2 linked regions of the Arabidopsis thaliana genome follow. The protein of the gene in region 2 interacts with the protein of the main gene of each other region in a pairwise test. Each region holds a gene or a part of one and is shown on either strand. Other genes may lie near its edges.

What was found.
Region 1: the proteins of AT1G44000 (region 2) and NOL interact in a two-hybrid assay, tested with the Arabidopsis thaliana proteins (one study listed by BioGRID).

Annotation. Positions count from the first base shown.
Region 1 is NC_003076.8:1,427,936-1,438,013, reverse strand, and holds NOL (NYC1-like protein), read right to left. Parts: upstream 3,241-10,078; 5' UTR 3,189-3,240; coding exon 2,921-3,188; intron 2,802-2,920; coding exon 2,733-2,801; intron 2,602-2,732; coding exon 2,543-2,601; intron 2,447-2,542; coding exon 2,360-2,446; intron 2,222-2,359; coding exon 2,154-2,221; intron 2,067-2,153; coding exon 2,018-2,066; intron 1,931-2,017; coding exon 1,845-1,930; intron 1,739-1,844; coding exon 1,681-1,738; intron 1,596-1,680; coding exon 1,545-1,595; intron 1,357-1,544; coding exon 1,306-1,356; intron 1,231-1,305; coding exon 1,189-1,230; intron 1,092-1,188; coding exon 981-1,091; intron 868-980; coding exon 820-867; 3' UTR 519-819; downstream 1-518. Other genes in the region: AT5G04910 (DNA repair REX1-B protein), read right to left, coding at 120-319; ABO6 (DEA(D/H)-box RNA helicase family protein), read right to left, coding at 3,498-3,977, 4,058-4,168, 4,263-4,415, 4,514-4,573, 4,665-4,973, 5,209-5,357, 5,463-5,532, 5,683-5,886 and 11 more; RTM2 (HSP20-like chaperones superfamily protein), read right to left, coding at 9,624-10,078. UniProt on the Arabidopsis thaliana protein: Required for chlorophyll b degradation. Chlorophyll b, chlorophyllide b, pheophorbide b and pheophytin b can be used as substrates. Belongs to the chlorophyll catabolic enzymes (CCEs).
Region 2 is NC_003070.9:16,705,264-16,713,914, forward strand, and holds AT1G44000 (STAY-GREEN-like protein), read right to left. Parts: upstream 4,451-8,651; 5' UTR 4,259-4,450; coding exon 4,073-4,258; intron 3,707-4,072; coding exon 3,362-3,706; intron 3,274-3,361; coding exon 3,127-3,273; intron 3,043-3,126; coding exon 2,938-3,042; 3' UTR 2,741-2,937; downstream 1-2,740. UniProt on the Arabidopsis thaliana protein: Magnesium chelatase involved in chlorophyll a degradation in the chlorophyll-protein complexes of photosystem I (PSI) and photosystem II (PSII). Contributes to the degradation of PSI and PSII in the thylakoid membranes.

The sequences.
Region 1 (10,078 bases), on a different chromosome or scaffold from region 2:
GCCTCAATTTCAACATTCACCAACAAAGTCTAACTCTCAGGCAATGGATCAATTGGAACTTAACAAAACCGCAACAAATAAACTAACTCTTTGAGAGATTTCCAATGAATCAATCGAACCTTTTGAGATTGGCGTAAGCCTGAGCTCGGCGCTGCTGAATCTCCAACAGACTCCGAAGCAGGACCAGGGTTTGAGAGGCGACGCCGGAGCCCACCGTCGAACTAGTAGACCCGACACCGGAACCGCCGCATTCGTTCTCAATATCGCCGGAGAGGGAATCTCTGAGGGAAACCTTCTTCTGGAAATCTTCGGCACTCATCGTCCGATCTTTCTCTCCGACTCTTTTCGTCTTCTCAAACACGACAGAGAGAGAGAGACGAAGAAGCAAAGAGAAAGTTGCGAACTAACCGGTTTAGTCGATTTTACTAAATTGAACCGTAATTTGATTTTAATCGCTTTGATATCAAGTCCGGTTGAGGCGGTTCTTCGGTTTTACCCGGTTTGATTGGTTTGGAATGACATTTTTGCTGCTTGTTAAATTGTAAACTAGACCACAGGCATTTGGATCCCAGTCTCGACAAATCTGGTCTGATTCTCAAAATAGTGCCTATAAATTATTATGGTTGGAAAAAAAAAACTGACTTTTAAATCATCACTTCAATCATTAACTGAGAAATCTCACATTTTTGCAAATGAGCTTAAATCCAAATTGTACAATAGATTGCATGTTTTGGAGTTGTCATGAACAAAATGTAGAGGTTTTTATTTACCATTGAACAAACTGAGAAAGCAATACAATTCTAATACTTAGTTTGACACCTACTCTTCAGTAACATACCTGTTCTTCCTTGCTCCCAACGCAACTCTCTGAAACAAATTCCCAAAATTTGACAAAGAAAAAAACAAATTGGTTAAGTAATTTGCAGAAATAGTTTACATGCTTTGATTTACTTCTACGCAGAGCTATTAATCGTCTTAACTGAGAATATTTTGGTGTAGGCTTTGATTCCAGTTAGGAAACGGATGTAAGTCGGCTTCATAGATCCGCTAGCCGGTATTGCCCTTATGTTTGGGACAAGGTACTCAGCCACCTGCAAACGAATGTGTGATCATGAATCATGGGGCTAGAGATTAGAGATCGTGTCAAATTGTTGTGCTAAAAAGAATTAAGAGTTAATGGGTTCTTACCACTTCGGCTGGCTCTGCCAAAACATTAATGAAGAACTTGGCCTGCAATAGAGAACGTATTAGAGAGAATCTCTTGAAATGGAATCTAAATATTTCCTCAGTGTTAAGTCATCGAACTTGTTTTGTAGTTGCTCCGGACATGAGCAGATCAGTTGTGACCATTCCAGGCTGCAACAATAATCCAGAGAAAACACATTAGAATTATGATCATGTTTAGATCCTGAATTCATTCAAATTGTTCAAATAACTATAATCCATCCATTCTATTCATCTCTATGCGCATGTCTGTATCAGTGTATTTAGGAAGACACTAAAAACAACCAAAAATGAAATGAAGCAATATATTGTATTCATACCGATAGATTATGCACCACGACATTTTTGACATCTTGCATCTGCAACTCTGCCTATGAAAGACAGGAATTACTAGAGAAGTCATATAAGGAGAAGGGAAAACGAAGAAGAGTTCAACAGATATAACTCTGGCATTACCTGTAATGACTTTGTCAGGTGAACGACACTCCGTTTAGTTGCACCATATGCAGCAAATCTGTCAAACGTTAATCAAAAAAATGCTATTAGACAGTACAGAGAAGAGAGCCTAAAGGAGATTTACTAAAGCATGTTCCCAAGAAACTTTAATGAATCTAGCAAACCTGGGTGTTGGTCTCCCATCTGAACCAGCTCCATCAATATTGAAGATATGACCACCTCGAGATTGGGTCAACATCATATTCATTGCCTAATAATCATGAACACATGTCAGTAAATCCAACTGATAATAACAAAAGACACGCTGAATTCATCTCCTTATAACATCTTTGACTACCTCTCGGCAACATAACATGAGACCTAGAGTGTTGGTTTTCACAACTTCACTGCATAAAGATTTCAAAAAGTAAATGACTGAAACCAATCACATAGAAACTAACGAAGAGAAGGATCAAGCTTAACACAAGACTTACATAAGATCCTCATCTGAGGCCTCTGCCAAAGGTTTAAAGCTATATGCATTAGATCCCGCATTATTTATCTGTATCATCTCAAGATGGTATTATAAGACTATTTCTATGGTTACAAAATTGAAAAGAAAACATAGTAAAATACTCTGAACAACATTAACACAGATGTCACCAACAAATGAACGTTCTTCATAGTTTTGAGAGTGTACCCAAATGTCAATGTATTTAAGATTCTTCTGACTATAAGCTACAAGTTCCCTCACATCCTTCCCTTCCGTAACATCACACTTAGTTCCCTACTAAGAGAAAATGGTTTCATGATATCAATGCACATAAAGCAAAAACCTTGGAAGACCACACGAATGGAAAAGAACAGTAAAAGAAGGCGGTACCCACACATGCTCCCCAAATTCTTCCTTAAGACTCTGAACAGCAGTCTCAACTCGTTCAGCTGCAAGACAGGAACAGCCATAACAGCAAAATTCTACTGAAGATTGGTTCTATTACTTGCTTGCATGTTTCCTTACAGACACACAAACTCTAGAAAAGGAGTTCAAGACAACAATGGGGACAGGTTCTAACCTGATCTAGAGCAAATCACAACATTGTCGCCTGCTTTCAGAAACTCTCTAGCTAATGCATATCCTATACCTGAACAATCAATAAATCAAAAACCACTCTTTAGAGACACAATGAGATAAAAAAATATGTTTTTTCCCTTCTGAAGATTAAAAACTCGAGTCAATTGACAAAGACAGAGTGAATGAAACCTTTGGTTGAGCCAGTGATCAATATGTTATACGGAGGCGTCATAGGTTCTCTTTTCCCTGAGATACGAGCTTCCACCGCCGCAGACGACGGAGTAACCGTGAGGTTTTGGCGCGTAACAACGACAGTTGCGAGACCAAAGCGTTCTGCCAGTAACCGACGCCGGCAAATAGGAGAGAGAAACGGAAGCTTAGTGACATTTGAGACGGAGGAAGACCGAAGCCTAAGCAACGGAGAAGAAGAGACGTTGAAACCACTCCAAGTAGCCATTACAGAAGCTCAAAGAGAGAGAGAGAGAGAGTTGCGTAAGCGAGCAAGCTCAGAGAGAGTTAAATGCCACGTGGCGGCATATAAGATGATAATAACCCCAATTATTGTTCAAAATACATCATAGCCCCTAAAGTTTCTAGATTTTATGTTTATAACCCTACACTATTGTTCTGCCCCAAAAACGACACTATAGTTACATAGTGACTACTGAAGTATAATTTCTCTATCTGCTTTGGTTGGTATTTGAGATCGTCCAAAGCACAGTTACACAAACCAAATCTGTCTGCGAAAAAACCTACAGAGATTCAATTACTTGCCCTTGGATCGCCTGCGCCGTCCTCCAAGGAGTTTAAGCATGTTATCAGTAACATCAGGTGGAGAATCTGCATCCTCATTGTGTTGGCCAGTACTATTATCAGAGGTATGAGTCAACCAAGCTAAGGCCTCAACAGCAGCATCTTTCTCAGCGAGCGTTTTATTCCTCTGAGGCTTCCCAACGAACTGCATTCCTTTAAACTCCACAAGTGCTCTGAATTCGTTTGTCTTGAGATGTTTTGTCTTGTACTTTGGAGGTGAGTGTCCAGCTCTCATCAAAAGTGTCTGAAGGAGACTCTTCGGGTTTGTCCCGTCTTTGGAGTGTTTGTTCTCTCCTATTTGCGGTTGGCTTGGCCTCTTTGTGTCACGGCCAAAGACAAATCTGCCTTCGCATTGGTCTCCAGCCACAAGTTCTTGAACTGCAAGCATGAGGTACTTGCCTTCTTTGTGGATGTCCATGCTTGGATCTTCAAGCTGCAAATCGTAAAGATACTAAAGGTGTTAAAGTGCTGCACTACGAACACTTTTTCCTTTTAAAATTGAAAAAAACTCGCCTTTTTTTGAAGAAGCTTATCGAGTTCTTCCTTCAGCTTTACATAGGACTCAGCCAAATTTGGATCCATGAAGAAATCAATGTACCCGTCAAGCATTTTTAGATGTCCCACCTGGAAACAACACAACATTCAATCCATTCGATTCCGGAGTATTCCATAATCTGACTAGTGTAAGGGTTAAAAAGAGGAAAATGAGAGAAATCACCTGTACTCCCGTGCTCAATGAACCACCAAAAAGGATCAAACTGGAATCAGGGACACCAGTGGAGTCCCGTATGAGTACCGCATTGACCTTTACTTTCTCTCCAAAGACTAGCCAAGGGTATGGAATTGTTGGGAACCGCGAATTAACAGAATTCTGAAACATAGAAACCGTAAAAACCATTTAAATAAAAAAGATGGCCATATCGAGAGACTCAAGTAATGATGTTGGGAAATACGAATGAAGAGGCTCACCGCGTATAGTGATACTTGGCCATCATCCATTGTCTTGAATGACATGGAAGTCTCTCTGTGCTGTGCAAAGAAAAAGGACAACAAGGTTATTTCACCGAAATCTCTGACACGAGAAAGGAGACTTAGCCAGAGACATGGGTCTTAGACTTACCACAACAGATGCTATTCCAGGGAATAGGCCAGAGCAAATGACAGCACGAACCAGAGACTGGTTGTGACTTAGCTTGTTGTTGAGAGCTAAATCATCATGAACTAAGCCAGCTTCTTTCAAAATATAGTTGAACTGCTTCCTCAGAGAATGTATCGCCTGAAGCGTCTGAGCTGACAGGAAATTCCTCCAACAAAACTCATAAGCCGATCCTTCTCTTTCAGCATCTTTCCACCCTTCAAAGGCACGAACGAGTGCCATATGGTCACTGTAGTCTTTGGCTGAGAATCTCAACTTGGCTGATAAAGCTAACTAAAATAAAACAAGGAAATCATCTCTCAGTTTGAGAGATTAAACCACAACATACTTCATAAAAAGTTATATATCCATCTATCTATTGGCTTAAAACCGCCTATAAAAACCCACTCTTCAATAAAATTCAAAAGACCAAAAAGTAAGTTTTAAAAACATTTATTTGCCAATTAATCAACCAATCACCGTACATCATGATAAAAATAAATGTTCGTCCATGAGTCCTTATACTTACGTCTTTTTTGTCTTGAGGTAGAAGGAAAGGATCTCTGACACTTAGCCCTGATACAATTGTCAGGATCGGATCAAAGCAGCGGAAGATGGCACCCATTATCAGCATTTTCCCCAACTTGGGATCAACAGGAAGAATCGATAAGAGTTTTCCTAGTTGGAACAGGCCAAAAATACAACAAGCAGGAAAGTCAGTCATGATACATGTAGTATAAGAAAGAGTTGGACCATTTTTTGTACAGGACTTAGAACACAAACCAAGATCCGTTAGATTTTCCTTCTCATCCAGTGCTCCGATCATTTTCAGGAATCCAATAGCATTTTGAACCTGTCATGATATTTACAGTTATGTTGACTAATTTTGAGACAATAAGAATCATATCTTCCACATACAAAAAAATCTGATAATCAATCAAAGATGTTACTAGTAACATGGAAATTGGCGAAATCTCTATGAACACATTTATCTGTCACTTACAGCCAAAGACTCTGGAGCCTGAAGTGCAGCTGACAAGAATTCTGCAATGCTTTCAACCTGAAGACTTTTAATTTGCAGGCAGAGAGAGTTTAAAGGAGTTCTCAGAAGTTCAGGAAGTTGATACTCTGCAAAAGCATCATAGACGCATTTGGGGTACAGGTGATAGCATTCTCCCGGAAACAGACGCCCAGCTCTTCCCCTTCTCTGAAGGCCAAATAGAGGGGAAATGTTGGACATACCAAATGAGAAAGCTTTATAGCTATCAAAAGATGTACCAGATAGCAAAATGGATGTTCTGAAATTGCAACAATGATAATCATGCAATCAAATCATATAGAGGAGTCAATGTTCTGAAATCAAAAATAAGAACGATGCAAAACACAAGAAAGATCTATTTACAACAATAGGTTTTAGTATAATGTATTCACCTGTCTCGCAGAAGCTTGAGATATCCAAGAAGGTAGCAGACAAGGTGTATTGTTCAAAGCATCATAGGTGGTCTCTTTTGCTTTTCCACAGTCAACCACAAACACTACATCGTTTATTGTAATACTAGCTTCTGCCATGTTTGTAGCAAGAACAATTTTGCGAATATTAGGAGGTGCTCTCTCAAAAATGAGTCTCTGCGTAAACATCAACGAAATATGTTAAATAAGTTACAATTAGTACTTCTCCAGAGTCGTGACTCAAATTGAAAGGAAACAAAGTAACACGTGAGGATATAAATCAACCTGCTCAGCAGTTGCCATTGAACCGTGGCACATTAATAGCAAAACCCTGTTCGGATCTCCCAAGAGAGGATGGGCTTTAATTTGGTCGCTCAGGGATCTGATATCATCCCATCCTGTCAAAAATACTAATACAGCACCTGGACGTTCTTTTCGGCATATGTGACAGAGAACAGCCTCAATGAGATTAAATCCTATGCAGTCAGGCATCCAAGACGAAAGAGAATCACGTGTCCTAGAGTTATAGCTTTCAAAATTTGACTTGCTGAGAGCTTCCTGCAATTTTAAAGAAACAATGGTGAACAATGTTATTGGAATATTTGGTCTGCTCAGCAAACCTAGTTGACCAACAGAAACACAGTTAGTTAAACTTGCAAATTAGAGTTAATTCTAAGGAATTTCCAGTTGATGTAAAAAATTAGCCAAGTACCTCAACAAGAGTAGTGATCTGGTTTTTTCTTTTGCGAGGCATTAACTGTTTTTGCGTTTTCCACGTCTTTTCTTGGCCATAATCATCAACTTGATTAAAAGAGGTCAGCTTATATCCCGTTATTTCCAGTACATCCTCCAAAAAATGTGCTTTCACTGGATGTGTGAAGCCCTGAAAATATATATACATTCAAGGCTTCCCATAGAAACAACTCGAAACACGGAAATCATGCTGAATATCTAGAGTGTCAAGACTATTGAGGAAGAACATTGTCTTACAGGAATGTGAATGGTAGGTGCCCCTCCATAGTAATTAGAAAAGAGTTCAGCATTCAAAGTGGCACTCATGAGAACCAATCTCAGATCTGGACGCCGTGGAAGAAGCTCCTTTAACACTATAATTAAGAAATCTGCAACCAAGAAGTGAGGGGCATATTATTATGAGACTCTATTTGCAGAAACCTAAACATACATTAGATATATAGATATGTACCTTCATTCATGCCCCTTTCATGAATCTCATCAACAAAAACATGTGTAACTCCATTCAAATTGCGATCACTAAGCAGCCGTCTGAGAAGGATACCACTTGTACAAAATAGAAGGTGGGTATTCTTTCCTCTCATTCCTTCTAGACGAACTTTAAACCCAACCTATCGGAAATTCTCTGTTAGGTATGAAGTCATGAATAAACAAGCATCTTTTAACAAAGTATTAGTGTTAATTGGAGTAATCAGACAGCTTTTGAATCGATGCTCAATTGAAGGACAAGGATTTTGGCTAACCGTTTCACCAAGAGGTTCTCCTCTTTCAGCTGACACTCTTTCTGAAACTGCCATGGCAGATATTCTCCTAGGTTGAGTACAAATGATGTTGCAGAATGCTCCCCGACCAGACTCTATCTCTGATTCCAAAATGTATTGTGGAAGCTGAGTTGTCTTACCACATCCAGTCTCCCCAGATACAACTATCACCTGAGAATTTGAGAGTTGAGATCAAAAAATTAATTTCCATGCATTGCTGCATTGCGAAGATATCCCGCTCTAAAATTCACCTGGTTCCGAGCAATAGCTTGAAGAAGTCTTTCTTTGTCCTTGAATGAAGGCAAAGTTTTCCTGAATTCCAGCATCGTCCGTCCCTCAGGGGATTCCTATTATTCAACCAAATAACTACTGCTATAGCAGAAAGTTTTTGATAAAAAGACAAGAGGCGTGGGGTAAAGATGATTGAGTAATACCTGCCAGGTTCTCTGCATATTGCGCATCCGCATACTCCTCCTCTGAAGTACCTTCTCCATAACAGAACCATCGAGAAACGAATCAGAATTTTCATCGGGAAGTTCTTCAGTCTGTTTAGGAGGTTGAGAATCAGCTACGCATTCATTAGCCTTTCCTGAGCTTAGCTGCTGACTATCAAGATGTTCCTGGAGGAGTCCCTCTACCCTTCTTTGCAAACTCAACGGAAGCACCACCTGCACGATGAGATGCATTACAATTTCAGCATAAAACTACAAATAAAAACTGTGCATTATGATTTTGGTAAACCAAGGGAGACACTGTTACCTCCCGTTGTGGTCGCTTATCATCCAAATCTGGTCGGTAGTTAGGAAGAGGAACCTTGCTTGCAACAACCACTTTTCCATAAATTTCACTGTTAAATTGGAACCAAGAATTGGGTTAGCACATAGCGCACACAAACACATAGGGTTATTTGATTCCAATAAAAGTCAGTTTTCTATACCTGTAAAGTCCCATTCTCTTAGCAAGATTTGAGATCTGCTCATAATCTCTTCGATCCCTTTTGTCTCTGGAAACAATTTCTTGTTCACTATCATTGGCCAACAAAATTCCTAACTTCCACTTCCACTCATCAACATTGGCCACAGAAGATGAAGCCTATAAAACCAATTCACGCCTAGGATCAAATCATTTCCCAAGTATAAAGGATCAAACAGAAAATGTTCAAAGACTCTCATTTACATAGTCATTCCACCAAACAATCTAATCGACAAACACCTAAAAATTCCATTTTGAGAAACTTTTTACTCTGGAGATCAACACAAATGTTGATTGATTGATTCCATTTATCTAAACAATTTAGCATCATGAACAAAACACGAACCTTATGTTCCTCGAATTCACACTCGTACTCATCATCCGAGAACTGTTCCGCAGTGTGCCCGATGAAACGACGACGTATCGGGTAGTACAATCCCGTAACACCATCACCATTACGACTCGAAATCAGAAACGCCGGAGAACTAGTAGAGACCGGACCAACGATATAAGACCTGCATAAAGTCGGATTTCCCAATAGAGAGCGACTATGAATCCTGGTCGTCTGCCCCAAGAAGAGGCTTATTCTTTTTGTGAAACGCATTCTAGAAAACGAAATGAGCGAAGAGGCATGGTTCTCAACCTCGCCGCCTTCACCGTTCACTTCTCGTTCTCCGGTAAAGGAAGTTACTTTCTGCTTCTCTCAGTTCCCAATTCAACTGGGTTCTCTCCTATACACAGATTTTTGGTCAGACAAGATCGATTGAACTAAAAGCTTTCAGGTCTCTCTGTCTTCAAATCTAAAAGGGTTTAGGGTTTATGGATATTTTTTCATTTGTTTCATATGTTTATTGAGTTTTTTTTTTTTAAATCCTGTCTCAATAAAACTATGATATATAGGTCTTAAATATGACATCATCAAACTTTATTAGACTGTAGAAATATATCACAAAGTATATAATATACACATTCTTCAATTTGCACAACATTTTTCTTTCTTAGAGATATATCATTCTGGTTTGGTAGAAGATGATGATGAAGAAGGAGACGAAGAGGAAGAAGAAGAAGAAGAAGAGCAGAAGGTATAAGAAACATAAGCTCCGAGAGCAAAGATAACAAGAGCAGCCACTCCTACATTCATCATCAACTTCTTCTCTTCACTTGTTATCTCTTTCCTTCTTATTTTCTCCATTATCCCTTTCCCCATTTTCTTTTCCTTTTCCACCAAGTTTCCTAGTTTTTCTTCCGCTGACTTCACCACCTCGCCTACTCCTCCAAACCCGGACTTGAGACCAGACCCCGACTCAGGTTTGGGAGTAGCCACGTGCCCGGATTTTGTATAGACCACTTCTGGCTTTAGTATCTTCTCTTTTTCTCCAGATTCATCAACAGACTTTCTCTCCTGGATCTTCTTTAGTTTAGCTTCTTCCGCAAGCTTCATATCCTCGAGCTTCCTCTCCTCAA
Region 2 (8,651 bases):
TCAATACTCTGTAGCTAATCCTAAAATACTACTACTGATTATTGTGCACTTGCAATAAAGTGTGATTTTTTAGGTAAAAATCTAAAGTGAAATAAAGCACACATCAAGGACCATCTTAAGTCTTTGACAAAGGATCTTTGAAATAATCTTATGTTTGGGTCGGGTTCCCTCACGAATGAGACCGAGACAAATAACGAAGATCAATGGTCACCTCGGGGTTAAAAAGATGATTGAACCCGAGCCCAATCACAAAGCACCTCGGGAGTAAGTCCGTAAAACGGCTCGGGAGTTAATCTTAGAAACACAAACCAAGCCGATTGTGAGAACGCTTCGAGGACCGCCTATATCGCCTCGGGAGATAGTCACTTGAGCACGAGGGATAGTCATCACCGTGCCCCAAGCCAAAGTGTACCGGTTACCCTGAAGCCACCTCATGAACAATCACTGAACTGCGAAGAAGTACTCCGTGGGGAAACCTCAAGAATACGCGAGACAAAGCCTTTTAAAATCTAATCACGCTCAAAGGATCACTTCCAGAAAAACGGGATCATTTCCGAGATTCTCATAAATGATAAGGAAGGATCTTTGAGGATAATCTGAAATCAGGAAAAATTCTCGAAGTCCCCGAAGAATAAGAAATATTTCCTAAAGCGAAGATATTCTGGAACCGGATAAATGGATATATATACTAACAAATAAAACTACACCATTAATTGAAAATATATGCAATAAATTAAAAATTAGAAAACTACAAAAAAACAAATATATACAAATATTAAATACACTTACCATACATATATATTTTGAAAATTTAAATATTTAATTTTCGATATATATGTTTTTTATATTTGAGAAATTATTTATAATTTTCAGTTTTTCTGTATTCCAAATATAGAAAATACAATAGAAAAGACTTATGCGAATTATTTTAAATTTTCAGTTTTTCAGTTTTTATTTATTCCAAAAATACAATTGCAAAGACTTATGTGAATTCTAAAGAGATCTATAATTTTTCAAATAGAAGTCTTTATTTATATAAAATTAAATGTTTGAAAAATTTAAAAATATATAAGGGTTAGTTTATTTAATATTTTTATTTTTTAATTTTGTTATTTTAAATTTCTTGCATATATTTTCAATTAATAGTATATTATTATTTGTTAGTATATGTATGCAATGTTTGCTATTATTGTAAATTACTACCGTAAATCAGCGGTAGATTGTTCCTTATGAGTCCAATAGGTTATATGTTTAATTCCATGTGGACGCCAATCTTGCATCATTATTTTCTAATGAAATAACGTCGTTTTGGAGCTTTAAAAATGACGTCATTTCGATTTAACAGAAGATTAACTCTGTTAATCTGAATTTAACGACGTGCCCAAAATGGCCAAGTCAACGATATTTAACAATTTTTATTAAGTAAAAAACAAACGAAACTTTGTGACTTAAATAATATTTCGAAAGTTCTTGCATTTTCGTCCCAAATTTGAAAGTTCACGATTTGTTCTGACATTTTCCCTTTTCAAATAGGATCAATTTATCTTAATTAAGTACTCCTGTATTTTGAGCTAAGACGTAAAATCAATTCTTAAAGTGAAAATTTTGTATTGTTAATCTTAGAGTTTTCTGCAAAATAACCATTCAAGTAAATCTCGTTTGCAAGTTTACCCTCCAAGTCCGAAATATGCAAGTCAATCCCACAACCTCAAAAGTCACCCGCAATACAGCCCTCTCGTGTACCGATGACGTGGACCTCAATTACTCTTTTGGGTTTTGTGCAAAAAAACCCTCAATTTAATTTTCTTTTGCAAGACAAACCTCCATGTCAAATAAATACAGGTCAAACCACAATCTGAAAAATCTCTTGCAACATAGCCATTTCGTGTATCGATGACGTGACAGTCGATAACTCATTACTTTAATGCATATAATTTATAAGTCTATCGAATATATTACTTTAATGCATATAATTTAATAGAGTTATTGATTTAAGTTTTAAATAAAATAAAATTGAACTGATAGCCAAACAATTAACCGAAATATCCAGAAACTTAGTAAATATCCAAAATTAGTACCTATAACTATAATTCTAAACTTAAAATATTAATTATTTTTAGAACCAAAACAATCAAATACTTTAAATAATCAAAATATCCAAATATTGTTAGTTATATTTGTGAAAATTAAATACTCTTTTATAAAATAGAACCAAAATTTTAATTTTCTTTTCTAATATTTTCCTCTTTGTATTTTTTTTGTTAAGTTTGGTTAAATTTGGTTAAATTTGGTTAATTTTAGTTAATTTTGAAAGAAAGAAAAACGAATCTGAAAAAAATTTGGTTAGTTACGGTTATCGATTCAAAAATGAGTTATCGACTGTCACGTTATCAATACACGGAAGGGCTATGTTGCAAGATATTTTTTAGATTGTGGTTTGACCTGTATTTATTAGATATGAAGGTTTGTCTTGCAAAAAAAAAAAAAATTGAGAGTTTTTTTCATAAAACTCTTATGTTTTTAAAAAGAGTTATTGAGTGTCACATCATCGTTATACGGGAGAGTTGTATTGCGGGTGACTTTTGAGATTGTGGGATTGACTTGCATAATTCGGACTTTTAAGTTTATCATCCAACAATTGTCTCTCTTTTAGAAGAATTTACTTTTAACAGTCTTGAACTGATGGTTAGAGCAAGGAATTCCCACAACTTTGACTCTCCCACTTTATGTGACCTGCTTGTCTGAAATGTTCTCACCAATGGATTTCAATTTGAGCTACAATACAACTAATATTGAAGAAGCATAAAGAAAACTAGGCTCTCATAAATTTCCCAAGTATGAACATTTGAATGTTGGCAAATTGCACTTGTGTCAGATGCTCATTAAGAAATCTACATCATTTGCAAAAAAAAACACAGGAGAATGTACAACTTTGTCTCACAGAAGAAACGTAAATAAGGTATGGAAGATAGACTTATGTCGAATCAATTTCCTCGAAGTCGTCGAACTCAAGAAGCCTTGATGATTGCCCTGCTGCTTTCCCTTCACCACCAAAAACACACAAAGATTTCACATTTCCATAAAAAGGACAAACAATAAGCCGAGCCAGCGCGAATTAGATCATACCTTCGCAGCATCCTTAAGAGGTCCCCAACACTCGATCCGATTGTACTTAGGTGTGCTTGAATGGAAATAAACCCATACATAAGCATCCATTAGCTCAGGATTCTCTCTAAACATAACTGAATCTCCATGCACCACAGCTTTAAGTACCTATCTCAAACACAACACCAAAGAGTTATTAGATAGTCATTTTCACATTCATTAAGAACCAAATAGACAAAAGATGAAGAAGACTAACCAAAGGCAATTCCTTGGAGAAAATATGATACCTAAGCTCAGCAGCAACATCCTGCAATAAACTCATACCACTCACACAACAATGAATATGTAAACGCAGCTCATCATTCACCTTCTTCCACTCAGCAACCACATCATCTTTCTTGTACCAGCCTTCTAGTTGATCCAGATTGATAACGTTTGAGATTGTTAACGTTAAGTTAGCAGTGAAGTCACAATGCGAAAGAATATAAGTCCGCGGCGTAATAATTCCTCCGTTACTCTTGTTCTCCAATAACTCTCCTAAGAACTCAACTTTAAGCTTTGAAGAATCAAAGTTTGCTTGTGGAACCAAAAGCCTCACCGCCTAATAACACCATCAACATTCACATTATCAACTAACTCCACTACTTAAACATGTAATCAAATTTTGATCTTTTTTGCATTTTCAAGACCTCAAATTCAAAATTAAAGCTAGACCCAATTCAATTATGGTTATAAACAACAGAAATCTACAACCTTTACTAAAAAAATATCAATGAGGATTAAAACGAATTAACCCTAAAATTTGGCTTACCTCGGAGACTAGAGTATTGTAAAGTTCGATCTTTTTGCATTTTCAAGACCTCAAATTCAAAATTAAAGCCAGACCCAATTCAATTATGATCATAAACTACACAAATCTACTAAAAATCAAGATGAATTAGAAAATTTGCCCTGAAACTTGGCTTACCTCGGAGACTAGAGTATTGTAGGAGACACCACCGTCACTAATAGCGGAGCTTCGAGGAACACTAATTCTTCTATTCAAGAGATTGTTGCAGAAACGGTGGTGGTGGTGGTGACGGTGACTGAAGATTTCTCTATTGGGATGAGACAAAACAGGATGGTGGTAATAAGGAACGATGTAACAGGCCATGGAGGAACATAACAACAAGGTTAATGCATGAACAATAACAATGATTCTTCGTCATTGTTCATCTTCCACCATTTTTTCTTTTTTTGTCTTGAGAAACAGAGAAGAGATGTGGAAGAATGTGTTTTAGACGTAGCCACAAATTCAGTCTTGGTGACGAGCTTCTTTCTCCACACAAATTCGATTTTGCAAATTGATTTTGGATTTCGTGATATTATTTATTTATATCGAAATATTGTGATTGGTGGATGGAGTTGAGAGTTGTTCCACGTCAGCAAGTCCTTTTGTTTTTTTCATATCTATAGATAATGAGCTATGGTGGCTTCAATATTAGAGTCCAAGTTAATATAAAATGAATTGTATAATTTTATTATACAAGTTTGCAAAGGTACCAAATACCAAACTATATGATACATATCATTGGTGTATAACCAAGTTTATTTATATTTACAAAAAAAGTTCATTAGGGGGATCATATATATGAAAGTTGGCTAATACTCTCCATATGAGTGACACATCATCACACAAGAAAATGACAAGTGTAATTCTACATTAATTAAATTAAAAAACTAGCAAAACTAATTGAGAAAAAAACAAAAGTCTTTTGTTGTGTTAAATTCTCCATTAATCTCACTCTTAAATGAATTTTCTAAAACCATTCAATAAATAAAAATTATAATAATGTACCAAGCACAACTTTCATTCTATTCTATTTATTTAATTTTAAAAAATTTCATCTAGGTGGTCGCTAAATAATCGCAGAGGAGTCTCTACGATACTCGTTATTCATGTGATTCAATCGTAACTCAGTCGTTATATTTTACGAGTACAATATGACTAATGTTATGACAGCGGGTATTAGTCGTATCGTAGTCGTCATTTAGCGATTAAAGTTACGACTATTTTGTTTAGCGACTCTGGATTAACGACTAAGGCTATTACTCGTAATATAGTCGTAACTTCTACTTTAACGACTATATTGCTACTAATGTTGTAGTTTGAAAACCCGTGTTTTCTTGTAGTAGAGCGGGTGATTATCTAGTATTTCATTAAAAATGAAAACAACTTAGGTTACAATAGAAAAATTATAGACCTATACAATGGTTACATGGCAAAAGGTAAAAAGCATTTAAGCATAATACTATAATAATTTAGAGAATATATTTATTTGGAATTGGAGTTTTGGACTTTCTATAATAATAAAAAATAATATAAACAAGTATTGTATATTTTTTTAGAAAAACTTATTTTTTTGTTCTTTTCTCAAGGCTTATAGTTGATCTTACATACAGTAATTGCTACTTGATTTTATTATTTTTTCTTTAAAATTCAATTTAAATAGATTTATGTTTACCTAAAATATTATTATAAGAAATTTGGATTCTAATAGTATAATATCTTGCATATTATATTATTATGATAGTTGACATATATCATATATGTGAAAACTTAGAACTGATATTAAAGGAAATCTAAAGTCAATATTAGTAATACAGATTTATATATATATATATATATAATAACACCAAAACAAAGTTAAAACAACCAAAGAACGAAACATCTACCAAAAAGTCAAAAAGTAAATGAAAAAACTCTCGGTCTTTCTATTTGTTTTTAGCCTTTGCATGCTTCGTCATGTGTATGGCGCCGGGATCAGGATCTCGAACGAACTCAAATTCAAAAAAAATCTTTGGATGAGATGTTATTCCAAAGATGATGTATTAGGTCCAAATATAATACCAAACCGACAATATTATGAAAATATTTTCCATATTAACTTTTGGCATTCAACACGTTTTATGTGTACTTTGAGACAAGGTCCTAACTATATACACTATCAGAACTTTACAGTATTCAAGCTTTTTAGTTTGAGGGATCAAGGAGGCCTATGGGATTGGAGAGCAAGAGAAGATGGGATCTATTTAAAGAAAGAAGCTGGCGAGGCATTATTAAACCCAGTTTATATGCATAAAGTGCATGATTGGATATATTAAAAATATTAACAAGCTATATAAAAATGAAAAAGAAGAGTTTTCTTATGATTTAAAAACAACAGAAAATTATATATGTATGAGAAAACAATCTTCTCAAGTTATATATTGAAAGTTAGAAATATATATATATATTGATAAAATAGTATATTGATCTCAAGTATTATCATTTATCAAAGTAAAAAATAAAAATTATCAATTGGTAGTGAGACGTGGGTTAATGCTTCTATCTATGGAATTAGGGACGTCAAAATGGATCAAGTTTCATGGGTCAACCCAATTCAACTCAACCCATGAACCCTAATGAGATGAAATTTTTCACTCAAATGAATTGATAGTTCAAATGAGTTATTGGGTCAAATGGTTAGATGGATCAAATGAGTTGGGTTTCAATGGGTTAATGGTTTACCCATTTAACCCACCAATTTTGGCTAAATTGAATTAATCCAACTTAAATATCTAAATCGATATCAATTTGAGTTTAACCAAAACCTCTAAATCAATTGAATATAATCAATCTTTTTACAAATGGCTTCACCAACCCATCAATTTATTCATTATCAACACAATATCATCATCATCATTACCATCTCATAATATCATATTACCATCACCATCATCACCATACCATAATCATCATACTATCTTCATCACACAAAAAATGACATGTGTCATTATACATTAATTAAATTAAAAAACTAGCAAAACTAATTGAGAAAAAATCAAAAGTCTTTTGTTGTATTAAATTCTCCATTAATCTCACTCTTAAATGAATTTTCTAAAAACATTCAATAAAGAAAAAAATCATAATAATGTACCAAGCACTACTTTCATTATATTCTACTTATTTTATTTAAATTTTTTTTATCAATAGTCATAATCCATAATGGCTAAAAATTTACTTGTGTTGTAGTTTACATGTTTGCTACCTAACCTCATATTAATTTAGTAATTTTAGTTGGATATTTTATTATTATTATGTTTTGTGAATTTGATTTATCATATGACCTTCTTTCTGTACAATTTTGTGCGTTCTGATAACTTTATAACATTGATATACAATTTTTTCACGTAATAGTCATCCAAGACATTAGACATACCAAAAAAACAATAACATGAGACTCTATATGACTATATGGTAGGGATGAGAATTAAAGTGTTGACTTAAATTACTAGCATATCATGATGTGATTGTGTACTAGATGATGAGAGAATATATGGAATAAAGAATTGTTTGTTACAAATAAGTTAGGCAAATTTCAAAACACATAAGTAATATAACTACATACATTGTATCAATATATCATATATTGTTGTAGTATGTAATCATGATAGTGAAATATTAGAATAATAAATATATAAATATTCATATTGTAGTAGAATAGATATTTCGAGTTATACATGAATCTAATCATAAAAAATAATAATTATATTAAATAGATAAATTTATCAAAATGAACATCAAAATCAACAAAAACCCATATTCATATTTTTTTTTGACAATTTTAAAAACAAAAGCTCATGCGTAGCATATATTGGGGATGTATCAAGCCGTTTTGATGTTAAAGTCCTGGCCAATTTTATGCTCTTTCGTATCTCATCCAAAAAAAACTTTTGTTGAAATTTAAAGTTTATTACTATAATTATGCCTTATGCCATAATTATGTCTTTAATTATGTAACAAGCCGTTTGATGTTAAAGTCCTGACCTTGTACGATCTCCGGCTATATATCTTTTGTCTTTCAATTGATATAAGACTCAAAATGAGGCTTATATAAATGTCATAGTGATACTGATCGAACAAGCTTGTTTACGCTCTCTTGTTGGATCGGATCAAGGGATCATGAAAGTGGAACGATGGTACCACATAGATGATGAAAAGATTTCCGATACATTAAGGATATTTTGTCAAAGGGAAACCTGCACACGAAAATAAAGTTCAAAAGCTTTTATCGGCAATAACAGCTTGAGAGAATGACAAAAGAAAACGAGATCATTTTTCATGATATGAAAAAGTGTAAAAATGCAAAGCTGCAAAGAGATCTTAGAAATATGTCCATCAACCGTGATTTTTAAAGGTCAAGATTCAGAAGAAAAAAAGCTACATGGAAATGAAACAATTATATATAAACAATTCTAAAGCTATAAAGACAAACCAAAAATGGAAAGAAACAATTCTAAAAATGGAAAGAGTCTTTGGTTTCGTACAAATATTAAAAAATCTAAATAATTTAGATGTTCTCAGCCTCAAAACTATTAGGCATCCAAGTTAAACCTACCTTATTTTGACATAGCGTGAACCATGCATAAATTGACGTGGTGACTTCGTGGATTGATTCATTATTTTTGCTCTTGGCAAGTTTTTGAGATTTTTAGAATTCTCTGGTCCAGCCCTTGATCCTTGG